Linked DNA regions of Mus musculus. The protein of the gene in region 6 interacts with the protein of the main gene of each other region in a biochemical or structural test. Links are inferred from orthologs where the notes say so. Each region holds a gene or a part of one and is shown on either strand. Other genes may lie near its edges. The genes, in order: Casp6, Tuba4a, Mapk3, Gsk3b, Sgk1, Mapt and Mapk13.

Evidence for each region.
Region 1: of the proteins of Mapt (region 6) and Casp6, one has a biochemical effect on the other in vitro, tested with the Homo sapiens proteins (2 studies listed by BioGRID). The link is inferred for Mus musculus from reciprocal best matches to the Homo sapiens genes MAPT and CASP6.
Region 2: the proteins of Mapt (region 6) and Tuba4a are reported together in a solved structure, tested with the Homo sapiens proteins (2 studies listed by BioGRID, with this or other methods). The link is inferred for Mus musculus from reciprocal best matches to the Homo sapiens genes MAPT and TUBA4A.
Region 3: of the proteins of Mapt (region 6) and Mapk3, one has a biochemical effect on the other in vitro, tested with the Homo sapiens proteins (2 studies listed by BioGRID). The link is inferred for Mus musculus from reciprocal best matches to the Homo sapiens genes MAPT and MAPK3.
Region 4: of the proteins of Mapt (region 6) and Gsk3b, one has a biochemical effect on the other in vitro, tested with the Homo sapiens proteins (21 studies listed by BioGRID and IntAct, with this or other methods). The link is inferred for Mus musculus from reciprocal best matches to the Homo sapiens genes MAPT and GSK3B.
Region 5: of the proteins of Mapt (region 6) and Sgk1, one has a biochemical effect on the other in vitro, tested with the Homo sapiens proteins (3 studies listed by BioGRID and IntAct). The link is inferred for Mus musculus from reciprocal best matches to the Homo sapiens genes MAPT and SGK1.
Region 7: of the proteins of Mapt (region 6) and Mapk13, one has a biochemical effect on the other in vitro, tested with the Homo sapiens proteins (2 studies listed by BioGRID). The link is inferred for Mus musculus from reciprocal best matches to the Homo sapiens genes MAPT and MAPK13.

The regions. Positions count from the first base shown.
Region 1 is NC_000069.6:129,899,915-129,904,214, forward strand, and holds the start of Casp6 (caspase-6 precursor), read left to right. Parts: upstream 1-1,500; 5' UTR 1,501-1,592; intron 1,593-4,300.
Region 2 is NC_000067.6:75,216,495-75,220,504, forward strand, and holds the start of Tuba4a (tubulin alpha-4A chain), read right to left. Parts: upstream 2,801-4,010; 5' UTR 2,702-2,800; coding exon 2,699-2,701; intron 941-2,698; coding exon 718-940; intron 482-717; coding exon 333-481; exon of another isoform or gene 100-332; coding exon 1-99. Other genes in the region: A630095N17Rik (uncharacterized protein LOC381272), read right to left, coding at 3,966-4,010. UniProt on the Homo sapiens protein: Tubulin is the major constituent of microtubules, a cylinder consisting of laterally associated linear protofilaments composed of alpha- and beta-tubulin heterodimers.
Region 3 is NC_000073.6:126,758,417-126,762,425, reverse strand, and holds the start of Mapk3 (mitogen-activated protein kinase 3), read right to left. Parts: upstream 2,801-4,009; 5' UTR 2,781-2,800; coding exon 2,608-2,780; intron 1,696-2,607; coding exon 1,513-1,695; intron 1-1,512.
Region 4 is NC_000082.6:38,190,001-38,193,500, reverse strand, and holds part of Gsk3b (glycogen synthase kinase-3 beta), read right to left. Parts: intron 1,974-3,500; coding exon 1,867-1,973; intron 1-1,866. UniProt on the Homo sapiens protein: Constitutively active protein kinase that acts as a negative regulator in the hormonal control of glucose homeostasis, Wnt signaling and regulation of transcription factors and microtubules, by phosphorylating and inactivating glycogen synthase (GYS1 or GYS2), EIF2B, CTNNB1/beta-catenin, APC, AXIN1, DPYSL2/CRMP2, JUN, NFATC1/NFATC, MAPT/TAU and MACF1.
Region 5 is NC_000076.6:21,993,684-21,997,183, forward strand, and holds part of Sgk1 (serine/threonine-protein kinase Sgk1), read left to right. Parts: intron 1-206; exon of another isoform or gene 207-380; coding exon of another isoform or gene 381-498; intron 499-982; exon of another isoform or gene 983-1,066; coding exon of another isoform or gene 1,067-1,142; intron 1,143-1,282; coding exon 1,283-1,358; intron 1,359-1,790; coding exon 1,791-1,866; intron 1,867-2,110; coding exon 2,111-2,215; intron 2,216-2,342; coding exon 2,343-2,426; intron 2,427-2,539; coding exon 2,540-2,671; intron 2,672-2,875; coding exon 2,876-2,988; intron 2,989-3,295; coding exon 3,296-3,419; intron 3,420-3,500. UniProt on the Homo sapiens protein: Serine/threonine-protein kinase which is involved in the regulation of a wide variety of ion channels, membrane transporters, cellular enzymes, transcription factors, neuronal excitability, cell growth, proliferation, survival, migration and apoptosis.
Region 6 is NC_000077.6:104,229,936-104,234,235, reverse strand, and holds the start of Mapt (microtubule-associated protein tau), read right to left. Parts: upstream 2,801-4,300; 5' UTR 2,629-2,800; intron 1-2,628. UniProt on the Homo sapiens protein: Promotes microtubule assembly and stability, and might be involved in the establishment and maintenance of neuronal polarity.
Region 7 is NC_000083.6:28,772,317-28,775,760, reverse strand, and holds part of Mapk13 (mitogen-activated protein kinase 13), read right to left. Parts: intron 508-3,444; coding exon 399-507; intron 208-398; coding exon 178-207; intron 1-177. UniProt on the Homo sapiens protein: Serine/threonine kinase which acts as an essential component of the MAP kinase signal transduction pathway.

The DNA.
Region 1 (4,300 bases), on a different chromosome or scaffold from region 6:
ATTTGTGGAAGGCCAGCCAGTCGAGGATCCTGCTCCTATATAGTGAGATAGAGATGCATTGTCAGGACTCAGATAAATAATGAAAGTCATATCCAAAGCATAGGCAGTCTTGGGAGTCAGACAAGCCATTCAAACCAGGACGGTGGTCGACACCCTGAAGTTCACTCTCTGCTAGGTCTAGGCAGCTGGGCTGGGGATGATGAGACCTAAATAAGTAAAAAAATAAAAATAAAAATAGACCACACTGTTTCCCCAAACAAGAGAACGGAGAGCAACTCCCAGCCATTTTCCCTGAGCTTCCCCCATGAAAGGCACGGTTCTGAGTGCAGGTTTAACTGGTCACCACCACTGGAGGGAAAGCTTGAAATGCCATGTCGTAATGACAGAGAAAATCATTATTAAGACAATTGAATATTACTAAGCCTAACCCTCTTTACTTGCCATCAAGAGGGGCCCAATTAATTTCGGACATGTTTTCGGGGCAAGGAAAAAGGTTTATTCAGTAAGCAAGACACAGCAAGACTTCCACTGTCTTATTTTAATAGAAATGGTGACATTGAGACTAGTGAAGGCCAAAGGCTGTGCAAAGATACCTGCAGATGCCCAAAGCCTGCTGCAGCAGGCATGAGACTACGCATGTGTGAGCCCGCCCTGCCCTGTTAAAGAACCTCCCTTATGTACACACATGCACACACACACACTTCCTACACACATGCACACACACACACTTCCTACACATATACGCATGATTAAGTAGTGTAATAAAAGACTCCTCAGTCAGCTGGTAACACCTTAACATAATTTTTATCATCTATAGTTGCTTGCTTTTAAATGACAAGGTGGCACACAGTAGGCACAATATGACAGGAAAGGCCATGGTCACCATCACCTACAGATAGACTGTCGTTCTTAGAATTTATGCATGCACTGCCAAACTACCCCTACTTTTATAAGCCAGACTTAAACATCCAGGAATTGGTAGAGTGCTAGGCTAGCATGCGAGAGTCCTGGGTGCAGTGGCACAAAGACAGTTATCACAGCACTGAGTGTGGGGGCTGAAGGATCAAGGTCAGGACCTCAGCTACAGGAGACTCAGGGAAGGAAGGAGGGAGGAGAGGGGGTTGGGGGGTGGGAAGAAAGTCCAGGAGTTGCCTCCGTTTTGTTTTGTCTAAAGCCCTGTCCAAACAGCAGCAGCAACAACAACAACAAAAACATGAGGAAAAAAGCCCTCTGACTGTAGAGTAAGCTCTCTACACTAAACTGAGCACTAGATGAAGTGGCGAAGAGCGATTGTCGGGCGGGGACGGCAACACTGAGTTCACCACCCTGGACGTGAAGTTGCCCTACTTGCTCCCCGGGCAGTGCCCTCTTCCCCAACACTTACACATACACATATGCTTACACACAGCCAGGCTCTGTGCAGGAGGAAGACGCAGTGGCGTCCTGGCGTTGCCTGGGTGACAAAGGGCCCAGTTGCTTGGGGAGGCAGAGGCGGATCCTGGGGCGGGGCAGGAGGCGGGGCGGGGCTGGCAGGAAACGGGTGGACGAGCGGAGGCCTCAGGGCTAGGACACCGGTGGGAGCTCGCGGGCAGGTAAGTGCGGACACCCGTGCGTGCGTGGGGCACGGGGCAGAGAAGGGTGGTGGCCTCCGGGGACTGCTAGGACTGACAGAAGTGGGCTTGCGGCGCTGTGCAGTGAAGGACGTAGCAGCGGTATTTTGCTCAGGCTAACCCCGCCGAGCGCTTTTGTCCTCACGTCCGCTGCTTCCCGGCTGTTTAAACTTTAGAGGGCGGCGCTTGCACTGTGTAGTGGAGAACTTGGCTCTGCAAGTTGAATCCTGTTTTTGTTGCTCGCGTCTGTCTGAAAAGTGGGAAGAGGAGGCGGACCAAGGCTTGGGGCACAGGCCTGCGGTAACCGGGCTCAAGACCCCTAACCAAGGCCAGACCTGGGCGAGCACCTCCGCCACAGTGTCTTCTGCAGCCAGCAAACCTGTTGCTGTCTACGCGTTAGCCCCAAATAACTTTTCTCCACACAGTGATAAACTGCTAGTTCTTGCTTCCCTCAGAACAGGCTTCCTGTCGCCTATCAAAACCGACGTCAAGCCTGAAAAATCTTTAAGGTCTATCAGAGACGGCCTTTATTTCAGAACTTCTGTCCTTATTCCAGAGGAAAACTGTAAAAGTCCCCATGGTCCTACCAGGAGTGGTCCTATTGGACACACAGGGTCTAGTGGTCATCTCCAGTTTAGGGATGAGTAGTGAGGGGTGGGAAGCCAGGTTGGGGGAGGGCACCGTGCCGCTCACCCTTTTGTTTGATTCCTTTCCTCTCCTGTTCAGTTCTATGTGTATGTGCCCTTTCCAGAGTATGTTCTAGGGAGGTGAGTTACTTCTTACAGGTTATTAAGTAGATGGTTGACAGGGAATATGGGTAGATTCTCATGAAGGTCACTAGTTTGGAAAGTGACCTTTAGTGGAATGCCTGGTGACATGTAGTACAGACTTTGTAATCCACCAGTGCCGGGCTTTCGGTTCCGACCTTAGGCAGGACTGGCCCTGTTCTGTGTTCTTGAGCTTTGGAAGTAGTAAGATAAAGTATCTACCGTCCCATGCAATCAATTACAGTGGCTGATAGCTTTATCTGGAGGGTACCATAAAGAGAAAAAGAGGTGAGTGATTTTATACAAATTAAACTAAGGAGCTCAGAGGCCATGCTTACTGTAGGGTCGAACAGTAAAGGAGAAGTGAGACATGGCCAAGACTGACGATTAATGCTGTGTACAGTTTTGAGAACCAGAACAGAGGAGACCACACATTTCTAACCCTCCTATAGGCTATCTTAATCTCTGCTACAAAAGAGGCCAAGGCCGGAAAGTCTCAGGTTCAAGGTCAGCGTAGATAACACAGAACAGCTCTTGGGGAAATGCTGTGCCATATACGCTTTGAAGCTGCTTTGCTGTGAGCCAGGCTCTGAAGACTGCGGCAAAAGGAATGTGAATTTGAGGCCAGTCTGGGGTACGTTGCTTTTGAACCCTTGCTAAGGCAAGACTCTCTTGAGAAGCCTGCATCCGTGTTGTGCTGGGTAGTCTTATGTCAACTTGACACAAACTAAAGTCATCTGGGAAGAGGGAGCCTCAGTTAAGAAAGTGCCCAATAAGATCAGGCTGTAGGCAAGCCTGTAAGGCTTTCTCTTAGTTAGTGATCAGTGTGGGAGGGCCCAGCCCACTGTGGTTCGGCCATCACTGGGCTTGTGGTCCAGGGTTCTCTCTAAAAGAAAGCAGGCTGAGCAAGCCAGTAAACCATCTGCCTCCACGGCCTCTGCATCAGCTCCTGCCTCCAGATTTCGGCCTTGTTTGAGTTCCTGTCCTGACTTCCTTTCGCGATGAACATGGAAGCATAAGCCAAATAAATCCTTTCCTCCCCAACTCCTTTTTGGTCATGGTGTTTCATTACATCAATGAAATCCCCAATTAAGACAGATATCTTGGCTATCTATTGTAATTTCCCTACACATATATTAAGTATATATTAAAACTGTTGAGTGCTGGCAAGAGATCTTAGCAGGTAAAGGCACTTGCCACCAACCCTGGGACCTGGGACCGTATTATGGAAAGAGGAACCTGCTTCTGCAGGTTGTCACCTGACTTCCACAGAGCTGTGGCGTGTGTCTGCCAGCTCCCACACATACACAAATACATGTCAAAACTTTATTAAAAGACCCCAGCTTTACATTAAACAAACCCTTAGTGAGGGCGTGAATTTGACAGCCTTGAAACTGGATGTTATTTTTAATAGATCTTGAACAGTTACTTAGGCCCTGACTAGGCTGAGGGAGATGTGTGAGACAACCCACACTGAAGCTTCTCATTGGATAGGAAGAGCAGAGTTGGTCTTCAAGGCTTTCAAGGGACTTGGCAAGCTGTGGCTGGCATTCTTGCCACTTTGGCAGCTCTCAGGTGCCTTGCTACAAAGGCAGGTTGGCAGTCCCTTCCTGGATTCTGGCTCTGTAGGTCTCAGTAGCCACCATGACCCAGGAGTCAGCCTTCTAACACTCACTGGCAATTCTGAGGCAGACGGAGGAAACCTACTTAGCACCTATTGGACAAGGAAATGCCCGACTGGACTCTTCACTGAGAAATGGTGCTGCCTGGGTGAACTCTAGGCTAAAGGGGACTGAGCCGCCTCCCCACTCAGCCTCACCGCCAGGGTGGCTGTGGTTTTGCTCTATTGACATGAGGTTAGAACAAGTCTGTTTAAGGCGGGGGGCGGGGAATAATCGACTCCACGTCAAAGACCCCTGCCAA
Region 2 (4,010 bases), on a different chromosome or scaffold from region 6:
AGAAAGCCGCTCCATCAGCAGAGAGGTGAAGCCAGAGCCGGTGCCCCCTCCAAAGCTGTGGAATACTAGGAAGCCCTGAAGTCCTGTGCACTGATCAGACTGAAAGGCAAGGAAGAAAGAGCAATATAGGTAGGGGAAAGGCCTGAGGAATTTTCTAGTTTTGTAAGGTCTAAAGTATCTCAGATGTTAGGACAAAGTCTGAATATCCCCTAACAGCATCAATTTCTGAGACACAACTAGTGATCATCCTAGAAATGGATCCGAAAAAAATACTTTTCCTGAGCACAGAGTCCAAAGCTCCCTCCTCCCTGCCAGGCTGTATGTAGTCTCACCAGCTTGCGGATCCGGTCCAGCACTGGGTCGATGATCTCCTTGCCAATGGTGTAATGACCACGGGCATAGTTGTTGGCTGCATCTTCTTTCCCAGTGATAAGCTGCTCTGGGTGGAAGAGCTGACGGTATGGGCCATTTCGGATCTCATCTGAAAAACCATATATCACATTGCAAAAACCACCTGACTCTGCTCCTTCCCCCTCCCCACCCACTGAGTGGCAGCTGAAGCCAGATAGATAAAAGAGCTAGCTCATCCTTCTGCCAGCATCCATCTTCAGCTTCAAATAAACCAAGAGGCTTCAAAGATCACAAAAACCCAGCCAAGACATTCTTCAAGAGACACTCCACTTTCCTCAAAAGGGGACCCCTCCCCCCCTTGCTCACCGATTACAGTAGGCTCCAGGTCCACAAAGACTGCCCGAGGCACATGTTTTCCAGCTCCAGTTTCACAGAAGAAGGTGGTGAAGGAGTCGTCCCCTCCACCAATGGTCTTATCGCTGGGCATCTGCCCATCAGGCTGAATCCCATGTTCCAGACAGTAGAGCTCCCAGCAGGCATTGCCCATCTGGACACCTGCCTGCCCCACATGGACTGAAATGCACTCGCGCTGAGGGATACAGAGAAGGTCACAGCATAAGTCCTTACCCACAACTACCCACTTCATTCGGTTCTTTCTCACCCTTTTGCCTATTGGCTGAGATTACTCAGTTGGTAAAAGTATGGTAAGGTTGGGACTCATGGTGGTCAGAAGCAGCTGGCAGCCTCTCCAGTCTCCTCAGCACAGGGCTCCCCAGACTGGAGGTAGCCAGCAGGGCAGACCAACCCCTTAGCCTACTTCTCAGTAGAGAATTTACCAAGTGAGAGCTGTATAATCCTGTTACATCCACAGGATACACAGGACAGAGAGGACATGCACACCTGACAGGCAGGGCTTCAGCAATTATAATAAGGGTGCAGGGAGAGAAAGACACAGAGAGGGATAGACACCGAGAGACAGAAGACTTTCCAGTTGCTTCCAGATCGTGCAGCGTCTAGAAATATGTTTTATAGTTTATAGCCAGCAGCTTCCTCCCTGGTTAATCTTTGCCTTGAAAATTCTCACAACCCTCTCCCCTTCTTTCCTGTGGGCAAAGAGGTGTCTCAACCTTCCATCTGGTATCAACTGACCATTCTGGCCTTCAGGATGCTAGAACCTCCACTTTTAAGTTCCATCTGGCCCTGAGGGATCAATCCCATCTGGCTCCTCTCCCCACCTCCACCCTCACACTCTGCGTTGCTTCACCACCTCCATCCTCGCCTCAGCCCACATGGAAATAGCAGCGATAATACGGGTAAACGCTGACGGCAGGGGCAGGCAATACAGGTATACATACTGGAGCCCTGGCAACTTAAGGCTACATCTAGGTGGTCCATAATTTAACCCCTGCAACGCCCAGGTCTATAGAACCTGTGCGCCTCCCTTTTCACAACCAAATGGCGCGTGGGGGCGGGGTGGGGCACGACAATTTCTAAATACCCAGAAAAGGAAGTGGAACCTGCTAGGAGGCCCTTGAGGAAACCCGCCTTGCTGCACAAGCCAGGGGAACGCCATCTGTACCTGGGCCCTACGTCTGCTCTCCCACTGGAGTCTTTCCAGTTACTTCCCAGTTGAAAGCTCGGGTTGGATTTCTGCCCCCGCTCCGGGCTATAAATACAAACCCCTTCATACACCTCTCTCCCTTCCCCCGCCACCTGGCCGAGGCCGGGGCTGTCGATCAGCGCCAGCTGTCTCTGCCTGTTCTCCGAGCACCCGCGAGCACCCGCACTCGGGTAGGAGGGGCCCGCTGGCCTCCCGAGACCGAACCCCATTCCCGCCACCCCTCCTGGCTCAGGAGGGGGTGCTGAGTCATGTGGGGGGTGTAGATGGGAAGAAGGCACACGGAGGAAGACGGGGTGCGGTACCAAGTAACCCCTTAAACCAACCGGCGCCAGGCACGTGTTCGGTCAGTTCCAGGGACTCACTCAGGGGGTATGGGTGGCGGGGGCAGCTGAGCAGGTCTTCTGCTGCCGGAGGAGAGCACTGGGTACGGAACCTCGTGACTCCCCTCAGGAGGGTTGGAACACAGACGCTTGGTAGGGCAGGAGGACACTACAGAAGGGCTCCTCTCTGCTAGTGAAACACCCTCCCTCAGTCCCCAGCTTCTGAAGGTGGACAACACACTAGGTCAAAGTCACCGGGAGAGGTGGGGGAAGTGCAAAACTCTTACATCTCCTGGAAACTCGGAATGCTAAGGAAAGGGTCTTCAGATCTCTAGTGGAAGGTTCCCCCAGAGAAGCGGGACATTTGTTTATAGGACCGGAGAGATCCTGGCGGGGCCTCACTCACCATGATGAGTTTGGGCTGTACGTCTCACGTAGAGTCGGGGTCACGGGTCTCGGTGAGATCTGCGGAGCTGCAGTGCCGCACCGCTCTTATAGGCAGGAGGCGGGACCTGCGCGCTCAGCCCGCCCACCATGGGGCGGGGTGGTTTAAAGACTACATCCCCGTCAGGATAGGTGGCCACCAGGGGAGTGAAACCTAGGCGTATCCCCTCCCCTTGCCGCTCCGGATTCTCTCACCTGTCGGGTTTGGCTTAGAAGCAGCGGCCCATATTCGTTCCTAGTTTTGAGCCGATGTCCCGGATTCCGAAGGTCCGAAGCAGAGACGCAGGGTGCGGTGGCGGAGCGTGTCTCGAATGCACCCGCGTCATGTAGACGCTCATGGTGCAGGTATTCCGATTTAGGGCGGATGAAGCTCAAGCAATCCTTCAAAAGCGGCTGTCCCCGGCCTTCTCCGCTGTCCTCCCAGCGTCGCCTCCCGGGCTCGGGCGGGTTGGGCAGCTGGGACTGGTCGCCCGAGACCCCCTTACAGCAGACCGCCGCCTGCTGGTCCCCGGCCGAGTTGGTAGGCTTTCGCCCACACCTGTAGGAGGCCGAGGACCTAGAACTACAGAGCCTGAGCCCCAGGGTGCCGATCCGGTAGACTATCCCTCAAAGCCGAGCGGCGCAGCCAATCTGTGAGGGCCGACGCGAGAATCTGCCACCTTTCACCGGCCAGGCCACTCGCTGGTCAGAGGCTCCGTCATTAGCGCCGTCACTATTAGTTAGCTCCCCGCCTCGACCACCTACCTGCTGCGGTGGAGCACAGAACCTGGAGCCTCTGGAACAGCATCCGGTCGGCCTTATGCAACCTTGGGCAAGTGACTTAGTGTCACTGAGTTCTTGGCTTGTACAGTCGAAGAGATACCTCCTTTCTACGTTTTATTTCCATTTCGTACTAGGACAGGCCTTTCTAAAAACTATTTCTGCTTTCTCAGACATACATCACCCCCACCGGAAAAAAAATCCCTCAGGAGGAGCCCAGGTGCTGGTTTTCATGGCCATAAAAATTCTGACTCCTAAGGTAGTCATCACTTGAAAAAGATTTCACCAGCATGGGCTTCCATTCTCTTCTTAGGGACAGAGCTGTTTGTCAGCATAACACAAGGCCGAAATATATACAGCAATGGCAGACGTTCTATCAACAAAGTAGCTAGTGGCATTTGACTTAAGAGAAGTCATAGAAAAGAATACAATACATTTCACAAGATCTCTTTCTAGTCCTTGACATCTGGTTAGGAGAATTTCGTTGGGAGAGGCTGAGTGTGTAGTTCGGTTGG
Region 3 (4,009 bases), on a different chromosome or scaffold from region 6:
TCCTTTTATACTTGAAGGTAAAACAAAGATTAAGCAAAAACAAATGGCTTATCTTTGGAAGAATAGTCAGGAGCTGGGTAGAGCACCTCACTCCTATAATCTCAGCACTTGGGAGGCAGGGGCTAGAGGATTGCCTAGAAGTTTAAAGCCAGTCTGGTCTACAAAGTTAGCCTGAGGCCAACCAGGGATACACTGTGAAACTTTCTTAAAAAAAAAAAAAAAAAAACTGAAGTCTGAACTGTCTTCTATAGAAGACATGTAAACTGGGGCTGGTGTCACCCCCAAGGCAAAGGCAGTTGGATCCCTGTGAGCTCAGGGCTAGCCTGATCTACATAGCAAGACCCCTTTCTCAAAAAGAAGAAACGAGGGAATAAGCACCTGCAGATATATACACACAGGGACCAACCCTGCTGCTTTATAAATGTGCAAGTCTAGAGATGCAGAGACCTGCTGAAGGTCATGCAGCAAGACGGGAGTATGTCGATTTCCTGTGGTCAGAGTTGCAGAGGCTGTAGAACAAATCCTGGCATTGGGAGGGGTGGGTAGGGAAAAGGCCATGGGTGCTACCGTCTGCTAACAATGGAGCCAGGCAGGAAGTAGATATGGACAATGAACTGGATGTCTGAACTAGGCAAGTAGTGTCAAGCAAGGGCAACAAGGGCTGGACTAACCTCCCTGGTCAAGGTACAAGTCCACAGGTGATCAGGGTGGGGCTCTCAGAAAGGTGGGAAGGCTCCAGGGAAGCCAACTGGGGGAGAAGAGGAAGCTACTAACAGGAACTGCCGAATTCAGGCAGACTCTCAGGGCCCCTCACCCTTCCTTGAGCCCCCGGCCTAGCCAGGGGCAGGAGTGCAAAGGCTTGGCTCCACCCTGTGACTCTAGGGTCCTCAGGTTCCCCCTCTTAACAATACAATGTGGTTTGAAAGCCTCCACTGCCTCCATGTTGGATTAAGTATCGCCCACTCCCCTTCCCCCTAGAAGGCACTGCAAAACTTAACACAGAGGAGCCTCGGTTTCCTTATCTTTGAAATGGACACAGTAAAACTCATCCGTCACACAGGGAAGCTAGAAGGTTGAATTAGAACCAAAGCACTAGGCCTGCCCAATACCGGTTTTCTTCTTTGCTTTCCATCCAGTGTGAGGTCTCTAAAGAAAGAATCGTGAGTCTGTTGAGCAAGAACAGGCTGTGGGCAGAGACTGGGTCATGTCACAGACCTGCAGATGTCAGAAGACAAAGCTCCCATAGAGATCGTTTTTTCCACAGCATTCTCCCTCCCCACACACCATACTGGGGCACAGAGCAGAAAGGGATGTGTTCAAGGCCACTCCACTTGGCTGCGACAGACCAGGATCCAAGGCCTGCCAGTGTGCTCTCATGCTCTGTAGACTCTCTGCTAAAAAGTTACTTTGCTGGGGTTTTTTTTTTTTGGAGGGTAGTACAAAAGATGACCACAGACAACAGAGCCAAGCTCCCTAGCTTTACTCTGGGGCTGTGGCTAAGGTGAAGGATACACATCTCTCATGGCTTCCAGGGTGGGCGCTCTGAGGATGTCTCGGATGCCTATAACATTCTCATGGCGGAATCGCAGCAAGATCTGGATCTCCCTCAGCGTGCGCTGACAGTAGGTTTGATGCTCAAAGGGGCTGATCTTCTTGATGGCCACTCTGGTCTTGCGCACGTGGTCATAAGCTGAGCTGAGAGGGCCAGAGAGATGTGGCCTTACAAAGGGGGAATCCAGGCCTGTTGGCCCCACCCAGGTCTTGGCAGGGACTGGAGAGAGGAGGAGAGGGTTCTGGCCAAATGTAAACAATGCTGGCTCCTTCCTGCTGTGAAGGCCTGGGATCTCCAGGGGAAAGCTGGGTATCAGCCAGGCAGCCTTTCAGTGACTTCACAAACAGAGGAAGAGAGTGGCCACTCACCGACTTCCTTTCTCCTGGACCCTCTTACATTCTAGTTGCCCTCACCCTCCTCCCCTTTCCCAAGCTGGACTCTCTCAATCCCAGACAGGTCCAGGGGATAGGAGTTAAATGGAGAAAGTAGATGAAGCCTAGAGGATTCAGTAATGGGACAGGAGAGAAGAGATAAGGAGGGGCAGGCAGGTCTCCCTGTGCGGTTCCTGGGTCAGAGCTGCTCCCATAGGAACAAAGGCCCAGAGCAGAGCACACAGTGGGGCAGCGAGAACTCACAAACCCGTATACCACAAAATAAGGCACATTCTAGAGACCCTTCCCTACTTTGGGCCCCTAGCCTTGCCAGGGGCAGAGGTGCAAAGGTTTGCCCCACCCTGAGCTTTGCTCTCCTCTCTCAAACTCTCTGTCACAGCCTCATCAGGGGGGAACCAAGGCTCCCACTACCTGCTCGTGGGTCCCTCACTCCCCCTTCATCCTCTTAGCTCCACCTTTATCTCTAGGGTCCCCCAGGTGCCCCTCCCTTAACAATACAAGGTGGCTTCAAAGCCTCCAACCCCCCTCCCTGGAGAAAGTAGCGCCTAGTCCTCCAGAAGTCACTGCACGATACTTCCCCTGCGACACTCCCTGAGCCCCCCATGTCCCGAGCACACACCTGCTGTCCCTGCTCCGAAGCCCCCTCCCGGGACGCCCCCTCACCTGACCATGCCGTACGCGCCCTCGCCGATGTACTGCAGCTGCGTGTAGCGTGGGCCCACATCGAATGGCTGCCCCTTCACCACCTCCACCTCCCCGGGGACCACCGGGACGACCCCAGCAGTTCCCCTGGGCTCCCCGCCCCCGCCCCCCGGAGCCGCCGCCGCCGCCGCCATCTCCACTCCTCCCGCCTCCCCCCGCTGCCCCGCCCGCGGCCCCGCCCCTCCCTACCGCCCTGTCACCGCGGGGCCGCGCGCCAGGCTCCGCCCCCGCCCCCGCGCGTCCCGCCCCCGCGCCTGCCGGGCGAGCCTGCGCGGGCCCGAGACGTCACATGGTCTCCTGGGCGCGCACCCGGCTTTCCCGCCTAGTTACGCTGTTCCTTCCCTGCCTTGGCCACTAGGGTACTTTAGTCTGCCAAGAGAGTTCTGCAGCCCCAGGGGCCAGTGGCCCTCAGTAATGCTAAGGGAACCCACCCGGCTTACAGTTAACCTTTGAAGACCTGCCTCACATCTTTGTTTCATTTAAACAGATAGTGGTAATCCAGGCTAGCCCCAAAGGCTCTCTATGTGGTGGAGGTTGGCCTTGAACACATCCTCCTGCCTTTAGGCCTGAGCCATCATACAGATTCAGGATGCTACTAGGCAAGCATCCTACCACTGAGCCACATCTCCATCCTTTCTTTTCTCTCTCTCTTTCTTTTTTAAGAGGGTCTCTTGACATGGAACTGGCTGTTCCAGAACTCACTATGTAGACTAGGTAACCAGGCTGGCCTCAACATACTAACTCGCCAGTGCTAGGATTAGTTAGAAGCTGTATGTATCACCATGCCCAGCTTCCATAATTTCTTATTCGTTTATTTGCCACATTTATTAATTTTGTGTGTTGGAGCGTAAGTATGTCACAGAGCCTGTGTGGAGGTCAGAGGACATCTGATTCCTTCCACCATGTGGGTCCCAGGTGTCCAATTCAGGCTGTCAGACTTGGTAGGAGTGGGCCACCCTGAGTTGCTGAGGGAGTATATCTTACGTTTTATAATGAGGAAGCAATCTGGAGGGTGGTGGACGGCAGGCAGCACTGTGAAGCTGTGAAGTCGGTCCTGACTCCAGTGTGAAGACACAGGCCTGCAGGGGGGCTCAGGTGTGTGCTGAGGCCCCAGTGTCGTACAAATCCTCTGCCTGATTGCCCAGAGGACGTGCAACCCAGCTCACTTCACGGGAGAAGGAGGGAAAGGGTGGTAGCTGTGGACAAAGGTAACTAAATCAATTTAAATTCACTGTCACCTTTTCTCTGTCTCTGTCTGTCTCTGTCTTTCTGTCCCCCCCTCCCCCCACGCTGGGCTGGTAAGATGGTTGGGTAGGTAAAGATGCTTGCCAAGCAAGCCCAAAGATCTGAGTTGGATCTCTGG
Region 4 (3,500 bases), on a different chromosome or scaffold from region 6:
CTTACAAAGTCTTAAGAAGCAAGATCCTGGCTACAGTTATGGCTTATCCATTAAGAAAGACTACTTGCTGCTCTTGCACAGAACCTAGTTCAATTCCCAGCATCCATGTAATGGCTCACAACCACCTATATCTCCAGAGATTTGACACCCTCTCTGACCTCCACAGGCACTAATGTATGCATGTGGTATGCATACATACATGCAAAAACACACGCATAAACCAAATTTAAAAGGCAAGCATCTTAGATCCAAATCCATGTTTTCTACAATGTGCCAGGTGATCTGGCTCTGATTATTTTAGAAGGACTGTTCAGATTTTTGTAGACCCTGGCACAACTCAATCTATTATCTTGTGCATAGATCATATATAGCTAACTAGTATCAAATATTTGACTAGAATACTAATCAAATACTGTATCCAGTGGCATTTGCAAGGACAAAGGACTAAACTTTCTCTTGGAGACAGCTGAATTAGTAAGCCCAGGAAAGACTGTCGCCTACAGTACTTGAGTAACGTTTTATGAAGAGCAGGCAGAATCAGGGTCTCCACGTGGCAGCTCAGATACTGTTTTCTCCAGTCAGCTTCTCTGCAGCACTTCTCACTTATTCAGTCACATACGCCATGTTCCTACAGCCACAGTAAGACAGCACCACACACGGCACCACACACACTCCCTCCCTCCTCTCCTCTGGCAGGTTTCATCAAGTGTGGGCTGTAGAGCCCTAAGTGTTGCAGACATTTTCAGGTCCTAGAATGTAACTTTACACTAACAGCATAAACAATAAAATGACCTAGTGTGTAAAAAGCACCAGTATCAGCGAAAAGATGCTTTGGCATATTGCCCTTTCTGAAAAGAAAAAGAACAACGCACCGCTGTGCGTATCAGGAGGACAAAGCACTGTACTAAATTAGCCAGGTTTTGTTTTTATTTTGGTTTTTGCCCCGCCCCCATGACTATGGGTTTTTTTCCTGGGGGAGGAGTGTAATATGTATGCTTTAGTTTCTATTTAGGACTAACAGGTTCTAATCAGAAACAAAGTGAAAGGGGCTGTGGAGGTGGCTTATGGTAGAGAGAGCTGAAGACAGGATGGTCTCAGACCCACGGGTCAGCTAGTCCAGCCACATCAGTGAAGCCCAGCTCCCCGCCACCCCTGCCATGATACATTAAATAAACTGATTGGGAGAAGGGTTTTTGTCTACTAACACAGCAACTGCACTAGAACAGGTTAAGAAGATAAGGTCAATGAAGATTTCAACTGTCTCTAATCTTTCTATCGTTAGACATCTCCAGTGAAACTTTTAAACCTGAAAAGCTAATGAATTAAGCTGCTCGAAAATTAAGCGATGCATCATTATAGGAATTCAGAAATATTACTGCCCTATTAATTATAATATTAACATTTTAAAAGTAACATTATTAATTAACAAGTTTTCTAAGTAGGTTAGGCTCAAGAATAAACACTTCAGGAGAGCTAGAAAACTAGTACAGAGCCCATTAGTAACTAAGCAGACAAAAGTTCCTTCCGAGCAGCTGTGGCTGAGCTCCACGCGTGCTGTGAGCACGTCTTTTTGCCGTCCTTCCCTGCCTCAGTAATGTTTCTACATGATTATCAAAAATTATTTGAAACTTTAGCGTCAAATAGATGCATTAAGCAACTACAATACAAAGTAATACTTGTATAATTCTAATACTAAAAAAGCATAAAACCAGAAAGGCATCAACTCTAAGGTGTAAGAAAGAAAATGAACTCTCTTCATTTCTGCAAAGGTGTCCTCCGCAGCCCTGCCCTCGCTGAGTCAGAGAACTGGTAAGAACCAGGCTGCAGTTAACAGTCACACCCACTGCACTCAGACCCGGCACTTACCTATACTGGACGTGTAATCAGTGGCTCCAAAGATCAACTCTGGTGCCCTGTAGTACCGAGAACAGATATATGAAACATTGGGCTCTCCTCGGACCAGCTGCTTTGCACTGATGAAAAAAAAAAAAACATTTTTAAAATATATACCTTAAAGAAATGACTACTTTTACATTCACATACCACATGTTCATCTAAATCTTGTAAGACTGCAATAATGCCACACACTTGAAACTGTTTCCAACAAAAGAAATACACAATTTCATCAAACTGATATCTAAAAAAGTGATTTTTAAAGTGAGTGTCAGGTGTTAGCTAAGGAACAAAGAGATTAAAAACTTACAAAAGGATACAAATGGTCAATTTCTTCTGCTTCCCCATTTCCTAAATTCTACTTGTGAAATATTAAATGGCTGACAGGCATGGTGGTGTGCACCTTTAATCCCACCACTCAGGAGGCAGAGATAGGTGAATCTCTGTGAGATGGAGGCCACTTTGTAGTGAGTTCTAGGTCAGCCAGGGATATACAGTGAGACCATGTCTCAAAAATAATTAATAAATAAAATATAAAGGTCAGAAAATTAAAAAGTAGTCTTCTCCAACAAAAGAATATTACCAGATCAGAATAGGCGAATATATCAATATTCCTCATCTATACGCTTTTTAAAAAAAGGGGTGGGGGATCTGGCCACTCTGTTCAACTTGGTCTTCTGACTCAGGATGACCGACTCAGCCTTACACAGCCAAGACATGCATGCTTCCACATTCTAGTCGGTTTACTGTTTAAACACCTACTGCTAAACAAACTGTGAAAAGGCATTCAACTTTAGGGGAAAATGACTCAGACCCTATCAACTGCATCTCTGCAGCTCTAAGTTTACATATTATTAAAACCTTCCTCCTAAAGTAGCTTACAGTATATATTTTAAACACTGAAGTGAGTCACAGTATCTCTTGAAATGTCTTTTTAGGTAACTCCATCTCAAAAAAGCAGGCCGCTCTAGGAGCTGTTCTGACAGCAGCATCAGATACAGAACAAAATACTGCAAGAAAACCAAATGAACAAAGAGGGAAAAAACAACAAGTAAATAAATGCCAAAAAAGGTGAAAAATCTGAGGTAACAGTGAGGAGGAGGAGACCCAGACAGGTGAGGAGACAGTCTTGGGGTGGGGTTTCTTTTCCTTCAATTTACTTATAGTCAATGATGACTCTAAACTTGATTTGTTTTTCCTTTCATCATCCGTTTCAAATTTTAACCTTCTTCTTAGGCCCAGATAAAACAGTATTTGCTATATTAACAACAGTAAGGTTTTCAGACTCTCAAAAAAAAAAAAAAAATCAAGGTTTAGTGTACTAGATAACCGACTTTCCTCTCTTCAGAAGTGCATTCTGGGGCTGGGATAGCTCCTTGAAAACACAGTTGTCTGTGATGTGGAGTTTAAACTCCAGCTCTCAAACAAATGACTAGCAGGACTCGGTGGCCCACGCCTTGAGTCTCAGCATCTGAGTGCTCTACATGGAGGCAGAAGCAGCAAGCTGCTATGACAGCCAGAGCTACATTCTTAATGGATAAAACAGATTCCTAAAATACAAACTTCCCAATAACTCCAAATTATCTAACTGGAAGCCTTGACAGCCT
Region 5 (3,500 bases), on a different chromosome or scaffold from region 6:
TCAAAATTTATGCGGAAAGAACAGAATGTTCTCGGAGATTAGTTGGAAAAAAAAGTGAAATGAAGATTGTACTTTTTTTTTTTGTAGAGCAGAGACTTATTTCCGCCCCCTCCCCTACACATTCCTGACCCCCTCATACCCCCCCCCCCCCGCCTTCCTTCCTCCTCTTCCAAGTTCTGGGATTTTTCAGCCTTGCTTAGTTTTGGCCAAAAGCACAAAAAAGGCGTTTTCGGAAGCGACTCGGCCGTGCACAAGGGCCATTTGTTTGTTTTGGGACTGGGGCAGGAAATCTTGCCGGCCTGAGTCACGGCGGCTCCTTCAAGGAAACGTCAGTGCTCGCCGGTCGCCGTCGCCCGCTGTGCGCCCCTCGGTCCGCAGCTATGGGCGAGATGCAGGGCGCGCTGGCTCGGGCTCGGCTCGAGTCCCTGCTCCGGCCCCGCCACAAAAAGCGGGCGGAGGCTCAGAAAAGGAGCGAGTCCGTCCTGCTGAGCGGACTGGGTAAGTGTCGCCGCCCGGCTCTTAGGGACGGGGTGCGTGGAGATCGGGATAGGGTACAGCGCGGGAACCTGGAGGCTGCGCGTTGGGCCGGGGACGGGACACCGAGGAGGGGAGAGGTCGGCGGTGACCGTGCACTGCGGTGTCCACTCGGGAAGCACGGGAGAGGAAATGGAAAATCACCGAGGCTCTCCACCCCTCCAGTGCCCTCCTCCGGCCCAGGCAGACAGAGGCAGAGTGCATCCCGGTGCGGGGTCCTGCTCACGCAGCCCGCGGAAGCCTCGGTCCTGCCCAGGGCGGCTCGCCTGGCTCACTCAGGACACGGTGGCCAGTCGCCCATCTTCTCGCAACTCAGTCTACAGCCTGCTAGGCGGCTGGGCTGGGGGGTGGAGCCTCATGGCGGGCGGAGCCTGGAGATGGGCGGCTCTGAGCCGCTTCCTCCTTCTGCCGGCCCCGCCCTTTCGCGGCGCAGGGCTTATAAAGCCGGTCGCGCGGCCGGAGCGCACTGTTGTCTTAGCCGGTTTCACTGCTCCCCTCAGTCTCTTTTGGGCTCTTTCCGGGCATCGGGACGATGACCGTCAAAGCCGAGGCTGCTCGAAGCACCCTTACCTACTCCAGAATGAGGGGAATGGTAGCGATTCTCATCGGTGAGTGCTGGAAAAGCACCGGACTTGTGTGTGTAGGAGAGCCGGCATCGGTTTTGAAGGTTCAGGATCAGATTAGCGTGTGGCGTCGGATGTTACAGAGCCCCCTAACCATCTCCCCTTTTCCTCTCTTTAAATTATAGCTTTTATGAAACAGAGAAGGATGGGCCTGAACGATTTTATTCAGAAGATTGCCAGCAACACCTATGCATGCAAACAGTAAGTTTTGGGTTATTGGGGAAAATAGAAAGAATTGTTTAAATTTACTAGCAGCGAAGACTTCATGGGGCGGGGGTGGTGGTGCTGGAGCTGAGATCTTTCCTCCGGGGTAGATAGATCTCTTCTGGTCTTGAACATTTTGCTTATTTGAAACATTTTAAACATTATTAATTTATGGGTAGAGTTTGGATCGGAGGTTTAAGATTAATTCTCGTGAATGTTCACCAAAATCCACGTCCCTCAATAAACAAACCTTAATTTGTATTTAACTGGGTTATTTTCTTACCTTTTTTTTTTTTTTTTTTTGTAAGCAATTCCTTGGGATGTTTTCGGTTTAAATACCGAACGGTTGAGTCAGAAATAGAACTTATGTCTGTGTGCCCTCTGGTGGCGAATTTAAGAGTTTCTAAAATGGCCCTTTAATCTCCACAGCGCTGAAGTTCAGTCCATTTTGAAAATGTCCCATCCTCAGGAGCCGGAGCTTATGAACGCTAACCCCTCTCCTCCGGTAAGTATATCTTGACTGTGGAGGAAAATTATAAATGTATCCGTATTTTCCTGTAGGGGTTAGTCAAGGCAGTATTTGTAAAAACTATCAAGGCGGGATTGTCTAGTCACATCACAAGTGGCTTAAGTGTTTAAGTACTGAGTCACTGGGATGTTTTGAAAGACATATTTCATAAGGTATTTTATGTGTTAACAGTAAGGCTGTGTGCAGCGTACGTATTAAAGGATGATGCTTTGTTTTCTAGCCAAGTCCCTCTCAACAAATCAACCTGGGTCCGTCCTCCAACCCTCACGCCAAACCCTCCGACTTTCACTTCTTGAAAGTGATCGGAAAGGGCAGTTTTGGAAAGGTAAGTTCAACCAAAAGTTCATCTTTTCCAAAAGATGAAAACTTTGCATCTCGACTCTTTCATGCATTCACTTTTATCTTCTCCCTGGATGAGGATAGAAAAATGACTGTCCGATTTGACATTTCAGGTTCTTCTGGCTAGGCACAAGGCAGAAGAAGTATTCTATGCAGTCAAAGTTTTACAGAAGAAAGCCATCCTGAAGAAGAAAGAGGTAAGGGTGACCCCTGGTGGCCGGGGCTCGCAGGCCTGGTGAAGAATTTCTACCCTGTGGTTTGCTGCCCTGTTGAAATCTGAATTTGCCACTAAATCTCATCTCTCTCCTAGGAGAAGCATATTATGTCAGAGCGGAATGTTCTGTTGAAGAATGTGAAGCACCCTTTCCTGGTGGGCCTTCACTTCTCATTCCAGACCGCTGACAAGCTCTACTTTGTCCTGGACTACATTAATGGTGGAGAGGTGAGCCGAGGCATCCACCTTGATGGTGGGAGTGGGGCTGCTCCTGTTTGCATTGCTTGGTTTGGGTTTGAGATGAGCTTTTAAAAGATACTTGAGAGAGAAACTTACTCAGAATTAAGCTATTTCAGGCCACTTCCTTCAAGCTTTCTCTTTCGGGCCTGACTAAACGACCCCACTAAGCCTCAGTTTCTTTGTCTCTCGCAGCTGTTCTACCATCTCCAGAGGGAGCGCTGCTTCCTGGAACCACGGGCTCGATTCTACGCAGCTGAAATAGCCAGTGCCCTGGGCTATCTGCACTCCCTAAACATCGTTTATAGGTGAGCCAAAGGTTCAAAGCTACCTTGAATGCTGGAGAGGGAGGCCAGGCTGAGCCTTTGGAGTCCTAAAATAATGAGATATTATGTGCACTTTGGTCACCTCTAACAATTCCCTAGCATGTGAGTTGTCTCAACTGCCCATACCAAGAGGGTGGTGCATAATCCTAACAGCCCAACTAAGGCTCCTTTCTGTGATTGGCTGTGGAACAGGAGTGGATTAGCAATCTTCTTAATACCCAAGCAATCTTTACAGAGGGTTTGTCATGAAGTCAAGCTAACCTACCTGTGTAACTACTTTTTCCTACAGAGACTTAAAACCTGAGAATATTCTCCTAGACTCCCAGGGGCACATCGTCCTCACTGACTTTGGGCTCTGCAAAGAGAATATTGAGCATAACGGGACAACATCTACCTTCTGTGGCACGCCTGAGGTAGGCAGTCTGACGCAGTGCCCGGTGTATACACACAGGGGACCAGTGGACATCACAAAGCACAGAGGTTTTAACTAAGAA
Region 6 (4,300 bases):
GCCAGCACAGTACCTCACTCGACCCCTCAACACAGTGCAAAATGGGAGTTCGAAGACGCTGTGATCTGAGCTTTGTTTCTGCACTGGGTAAAACGTTCTGTCTCCTCCCCCTCCCGCTGATTTTTCCGCTGTGACACCTTTGCCCAACGGGCCCGCTATAGTCAGCCCCCCCTCCCAGCCTTCCCCTTTCCGCATCCAGCCCAAGAGCCTGGCTTCTTCTAGCTTAAGAATCCTGTTCCCAGCAGCCCGTCGTGTGGCGAGGGATGGGTAGTATTTGAACCTATCTTTCAGATGCTCGCGAAATTTCTGCCAGGCGGGCCCGGCCACGATGCCACAGCCTCAGGCCGCGGTTTGATCGGGAGAGGGCGTTCCACCCCCAGCCTACATCAATCTGAGTGAGCAGTCGACGTGGGCAATTCGGCCCTTAAGAAGCTCATCCATCGGTCTCAAAACTGCTTACCCGCACCAGTATTCAGCGGTAAAATTAACCAGAAAACCTCGAAGACCGAGCTTACTGTACGGTGGGGAGGCTGGGACCTCTTAGCTTTCTATCCCTCTCTGGTTTCAAGGGCTGTTGTAGATGTGGATTTTTTTAAAAATGAAAGTCCCTCATTTAAATGATATTAATAAAATAATATCAGTCAGCACGCTTATAATAAAATACATTAGAGGCATCTCTCTCTCTCTCTCTCTGGATGGCTATGGTTGCCAGTGCCAAGAGAATGATGCTCGCATCAGGGATGAGGGGCCCCTTCCTCGTGTCTTCCAGGCACTATCAGACTACCCCAGGATTCTAAATCTCCGCGGAGTAAGGGGGGGGGTGGGAGGTAGGGGGTGGGAGGTAGGGGGTGAGGTAACGCCCAGAGGTTCCTCCTCTGGCTGGTGTGGTTCCTATGGCAACCCTTAACCCTCTCTCCTTGGGTTGGGAGGGATGGGTGTGGCCGCAGTATCCCAGGGGATCTCATACCCTCTCCTCACACTCTCCCACCGGGAGAGGCAACAGGGTTCAACGGTGGTGGTGGTGGTGGGGATGCGGAGTTGAGCTTGCCGAATCTCCCCATTCCCGAGGGTTATCTGGCTCCCCTAGCAGTGAAACACAAGTGGGGTGTGGTCCTCAGGATGGCCTGGGTGTGGGGAGGGATGTGCTTCCTCTGAGGGCTCCTGCACACGAGAGTCTATCTCGAATCCCACCCATGTGGCTCTGGGTCGAACTGGGGAGTGGGCTGCCGCAAGTCTGTAGATCCAACAAAGGGTCTGAAAAGAGTGGCGAAAAAAGGATGGAGCTGCTCCGAGTGCGTAGGCAAATATCCTCGTCGAATGAAAGCTTCCCGCCTCCCCCCGCACACTCCCCCAAAAAACCAGGGCTGGGAGCGCAGATCCTAAATCACACGACGAACAAAGCAGCGAGCTCCCCTAGACGACCTCAGGTGAACGCTCTGGTGCGCACCGCTGCAGAGGCAAAACGCCAAGGCTTCCGTGTTCATCACCCCCTGTTCTTTAACATGGGTCCAAGCCGGGTCCTCCAAAGCCTGGCCACAGCTCTTGGCATGCTACGATAGAGACGTGACTCGCCGCAAAAAGATGGCACCTCGCGTTCAGAGAGGGGGGAAAAAACGGAGAGGGGTGGCAGCGGGAGGAGACACATCGTACTCCCCCCTCCTCGCCCACCCAGGTCCACACCCACTGCCGCAGTGAGGGGCGAGCCCTGCGCGCCAGCCCGCGCCTCCGGCAGGGAGCGCACATGCCGGGAGCCCGGCGCAGAACGCAGAGAAAGAAACGCGCCCCGAAATGCACCTGCAGCCCTCGCGTGGGTCTGTGCCTGGCTGCAACGCTGCGCGCCCTCGAGCGGGGAGCCGCTGCCAGCCAGCCCGCTGACACCGCGAGGCCAGGTGACCCCTGACTCTTCGAGCTCCCACATTGGGATCCGCGCACTACCTTCTCTCGGGCACGGCGCTGCCCCTGTCACTGTACCAAGCGCGCGCAGGGGGAAGGGCGACTAACGTGACAGCGCCTGGACCCCTCCCCATCCTCCGGATTCCTCCCAGCCCCCAAATGTCCCCTGCCGGCTTCTGAAGGAGGAAAAGGGGAGGGGGCGGGCCACCGCCTTAAATCAGGGCCAGTGAAGGCCGTGTCAGAATCGCTGTCAGGGAGGTGGAGAGACATGAAGGCAGTCATCTTTTCTAGAACCCGATCCACACCTTCCTTAGGGCTGATGGCAATCAGGAGCAGAGAAATCCGATTTCAGGTTCTGTTTCGGGGGTCGTCGTTGGACCCCCATGCACACTCACAGACCCACGCCCATTGCGGCAAAAGGCTGAGATCCAGATTACAGAACAACCCCTTCCCTAGGTCACCGTCATCCGCGCCCCACCCTGCGGGCACAGCCCCCCTCATTTGCGCGGAGCCGATAGTGGGGACCCCAGCACTCATAGATACACGCATTCGCTCGCGTGCGTGCATCTCTTGCACGCGTTCCTTCCCAGCTCCCCAGCGCCTAGGGCGCAGAGAGGCCCCCGCCGTTGCGCCTGATTGATGCCCAGCTCCCTAAATCCATCTCTGGGGCGAGGGGTGGCAGGAGGACGGCGCACAGGGCCAGAGGGGACTGGATTTCAGAGCTGCGGCGCTTACCTGATAATCGACAGAAGGCGAGGACAGAAGAGGACAGCGGAGGAGAAGGTGGTTGTGGCGGCGGCGGCAGAAGGTGGGCGGTGGCGGCGGCGCTGCTGCTGGTGCTGGAGCTGGTGGGTGGCGGAGACTGAGAGCGCGCGCGGCCGAGAAAGCGCGTTCTGGAGGCCGGCGGGCAGCGCAGGCGCGAGCCACGGGAGCGCGAACCTCCCTAGGGGAGGGGCGGGCAGCGAGGCCTGGGCGGGCACCTCCCCTTCCGACCGCTAGGGGGCGCACGCGAGCGCCCCTCAACCCTCCTCTCTCCGCGCCGCTCGGCTCGCCCCTCTCCGCGCTTCCCTCCCCGGGTCCCGCCACGCCTCGGGCCGCGGTGCTGACCGCCGCGCGCACGCGCATTCCGTGGCGCACGCGCACCCGGCCTCCCGGGGCTGCAGCCTTTGTCTAGTCCAGGGGTCCCCTCCCTCGGTCCCCGCGGGGTCCAGGCAGAGCGGTGTGTCGGTCATCGTCCGCTTTTCAGTTCACCCTCGCTGGCTCTCCAGGCGGTACACCGTGAACCCCAAGTGCTACAGGCTCCCCGAGTCTCCTAAAATGTGGCCCTCCAGATAGAGCGCACTTTCTATTTCCAGGGCCAGCTGTTCGCTTGCTTTCTTTCCACCTGTTTTTGTTAATGGCCAAAGTGAATGATTTCCTTGACAAATCTTCTCGAAACAGATTAACTTGACCGTAATACACTTTAGCGTTTTCGTGGAAAAACAATTGTTTTTAAATCAAGGAGCATTCAAACCCATTAGGTATCTTGACTGTGACCCTAGCGAAGAAAAATCTTTAAATAGGTAAGTTCTAATGATGCTTACCACACACACTGCAAGGCATTTTCACAGAGTTATTTTTATCTCGTTTATTGAAACACCTTTGTACAGCGTGAGAGCTGAATTTTTAAGGTGCCTGCTGGAGATGGCCACCTGCTGGATGTCAAGCTTCCGGTTGAAATTGGTCATTAGTTCTCCTTCCAGCTACGTAGGCGTGGGCTGTGGCTTTAGCTTAATATCTTACCTCCCCAAAGCTCAATTCTCTTGGACAGCTGGAGCCTGTTCAAATGCAAGGAAGAGAGACAGGCACCTACTTCTTGCCAAAGAGGCGAAAACTTGTCTTGAAGCTTTCATTTGCATGCCGTTTTTTCTTTATTTTTCAAGGCAGGTTCTCACTATGTTGCCCTGGCTGGCTTGGAGCTCACAGAGATCCCCTGCCTGCCTCTGCCTCTAGAGTGCTGAGATTAAAGGTGTGCACTGCTATCCCAGCAGTTGTTTCTAAAACTCCAACGTTGTACCTGCTCGGTGTGTTGGCTCACATCTGTAATCCCAGCATTCAGATAGGCTGAGACTTGTTCAAGATCAGCCTGGGCTATATAGCAGAATCCAAGCCAGCCTGAATTGTATTACAGGGTGAAAGTGAGTCAACAAACAAACAAACAAACACACTTCTGGGCTGGGGGGGTGGATGGTTGTGAGCCACCATGTGGTTGCTGGGATCTGAACTCAGGACCTTCAGAAGAGCAGTCAGTGCTCTTAACCCCTGAGCCACCTCTCCAGCCCCCAAAATAAAATTTTGAGATAACTTTGGGTTCAGTTTTCTAGCACCACAAACATTTTTTCCCATATGAGCTTAATTACTGAATTAT
Region 7 (3,444 bases), on a different chromosome or scaffold from region 6:
TCTCCCCAACTTCTCAACACAGCCATTCTCTCAACATTCTACATCAGCCCTCTCACGGCTGAAACACTCACAGCCTCTGTCTCCTGAGAACTGTCACTCCCAATCCCTTGGCCACCAGAGTACCCTGTTCCTACCCCAAAACTCATTCCCCGGAACCATGATAGAGAAAGCACTCACCCTGTGGACGATGCCAGCGGAGTGGATGTACTGAAAGGGAGGGAGGGAGGGAGGGAGGGAGGGAGAGAGAGAGAGAGAGAGAGAGAGAATGAGAGAGAGAGAGAGATGTGAATCAGAGACGTCAGCTTCCACACCAGCATCGAGAACCCTCCTCTGCCCCACAACAGCGGGCTGGCTCTCAACAAGGAAGTTGCCTTGGCTACCATGTAGGCTCCACCCACCTTTAGACCTTTGAGCATCTGGTACACCAAGTACTGGACCTTATCCTCGCTGAATTCCATCCCCATGATCTTCTGTAGGTCTGTCTGCATGAAGGGCATCACCAGGTAGCTGGAAGGCAGGAGTGTTTTTTAGCACAGTTCCCAGCCTCCCACAGGCCCAGGTGTGACCTCAGAGAGGTCAGGGTGGGGTGGGGACAGAAGTCGGGCACAACAGTAACCTTGAAGACAACACCAGGCAAGAAGGCAGAAGACGACTCAGGTGTCATAGTTCATGCCTGTAATCCCAGCACTTAGAGATTGCAACGTGTTAAACCCAGCCTGGGCTACATAGTGAGTCCCGGGGCTGGAGAGCTGGGTCAGCTGACACAGTGCTCAGATGCATGAGGAGGTCTGGAGTTCAACCCTTAGCACCCACGTATAAAAGCTGGGTGTATTGGAGTTCAGCTGTAACCCCAGTGCTGGTAGGGAGGAGACAGAAGGGTCCCCAGGGCTCATTAGCCAGCAAGCCTAGTTTAGTTGGCAAGTCAGTGAGAGGCCTTGCCTCAAAAAAAAAAAAAAAAATGGAAGGGGACTAAGAGATGGCTTTAATCTTTCAGAGGACTCTGGTTCAGTTCCGAGCATCCAAATCTTTTTTTTTTTTTTTTTTTTTTTTTTTTTTTGGTTTTTTGAGACAGGGTTTCTCTGTGTAGCTCTGGCTGTCCTGGAACTCACTTTGTAGACCAAGCTGGCCTCGAACTCAGAAATCCGCCTGCCTCTGCCTCCCAAGTGCTGGGATTAAAGGCGTGTGCCACCACGCCCGGCTCCGAGCATCCAAATCTTGAGGCTCACCTGTAACTCCAGTTCCAGAGGATCTGGTGCCCTCTTCTGGCTGCTGTGGGCACTGCATACATATGGTGCACAAAACTCATGCAGGGACACACACACAAACACACACACACACACACACACACACACACACACGTGCGCGCACACATACACACAACTACAATCATAAGAAAAACAATCAAGGTAGATAGCACTTAAGGAATAACAACATCAGAGGTTGACCTCTGACCTCCAGATAAATGCACATATAAGCACACATATGTAAATAGGACATGAGGAAGACAGGAGTTGAAGCCTCAGTACCCACATACAATGTACACATAGCTGCATACACATATGCAGCTCCCTACATATGAACACAATAACACAGAAAACAAACAAAGAGGATACATGAAAAATGAGCAGTGCCCAGCCTGGGCTCCTGCAATGTCGGCCACAGCAACCTGGCTGGCCGAGCTCAGGGTGAACAACAGACTAGGTCACACTTTGTATCACCACACGCCTGCGTTCATACAAAGGTACCCTGGCTCTGCCCTCCTCGCATAGCTGACCAGCAGCAAGCCCACAGCATCTGCTAGCATTCCTACCTCTAACCAAAAGTTTCTCCTGCAGAGGGTCACACCCACCCCAGCTGGCTCTGCTAACTATAAAACAGATGCCCTGCCAGGAAGGAAGCAGGAAACAATCTTCAGATGGTGGAGAAGAAGGGACCCGAGCTATTAGGTTCTCAAGTGAAACAGGTCAGGGTCAGCAACCGGGAAGTGTGACTCAAGGTGGTAAGAGCAACGTTAAAGACAAAAAGTAAAAAAATAATAAAAATAATAAAAAAATAAAAAAACAAAGACAAAAAGTAATAGATTAGCTGGGCGTGGTGGCGCATGCCTTTAATCCCAGCACTCGGGAGGCAGAGGCAGGCGGATTTCTGAGTTCGAGCCCAGCCTGGTCTACCAAGTGAGTTGTGAGTTCCAGGACAGCCAGGGCTATACAGAGAAACCCTGTCTTGAAAAACCAAAAAAAAAAAAAAAAAAAAAAAAGTAATAGATTATAAAAGGTGTGTGTTGTGCACTCACACACATGCACACAGACATGCACATACACACGCATGCACATGTGCACACACACAAGCACTCACACATGCACATGCGCGTGCAGACACACTTGCACACACACAGTCTCTCTCTCTCTCTCTCTCTCTCTCACATACACATAGACACACACACGATCACATGTGTCTTGCATGCACACATTTTTTTCCCTTTATTTTGAGACAGGGCCTCATCATGTAGCCTTGCCTGGCCTGGAACATGTACACAAGGCTGGCCTCGAACCCAAAGGGCTCCACCTACCTCTTGAGCGCTGGGATTACATATTTATACTACCTTGCTGTGGACTTTGCTTCTGAAAGCTATTGCTGGACACTGGAAGAATCACTCAGCTTTTAAGAGCACCTGCTAGTTTTCCTAGAGAACCCAAGTTCAATTCCCAGCACCCCCATCAGGCAACTCACAACTGTCTTTGATTTCAGGGGCTCCTTCAAGCATGTGCACATACCAACACACACACATATATGTATACATATATGTGTATGTATATGTATATTTATATATGTGTATATGTATATATGTGTGAGAGTGTGTGCATGTATATGTACATGTATGTGTACATGTGTGTATGTGTAATATACAATATATACAGTTTATCTCACTTTCTCCACCACCTAAATACACTGCCTCTCATAACCTAGTCATGGTACCTGTGTCTGTCCTAATATGTTGGGCTCAAGGTCACAGTCACCACGTCAAGAACAGTGACTCCTCCTGTGTGTCCTTCTGTTGACTCCCAGGTGCCTGCCAGCCCTCCTCTCTCTCCAGTTCTCACCTGCTCACCCTTCCTGCCTTCTCACAGATGTGCCCTCTGGACCAACATCCTTGTATCTTGTCTTACCATGTTTAGTCCCCAGCGTTTAGCCATCACCCATGGAGAGGATGCTAGCCTGGTCTACATCCATGTTCCCCCCTCCTGTGATTTCACAGGCTCTGGAAGAGTCAAGGACCCAAGGTCAAGTTCATTATCTCTTCCTTGAGGTCTCTTCTTCCTACTTATATTCCAGGCAGGGATTGGGACTCCTAGTCACCTGTCCCAACCTCCCTCAGCCACCATGTCCAAACAGATGACATAGCTCTGTCAGCTTGGCTTGAGTGGGCCTCAGGTCTGCCCTGGG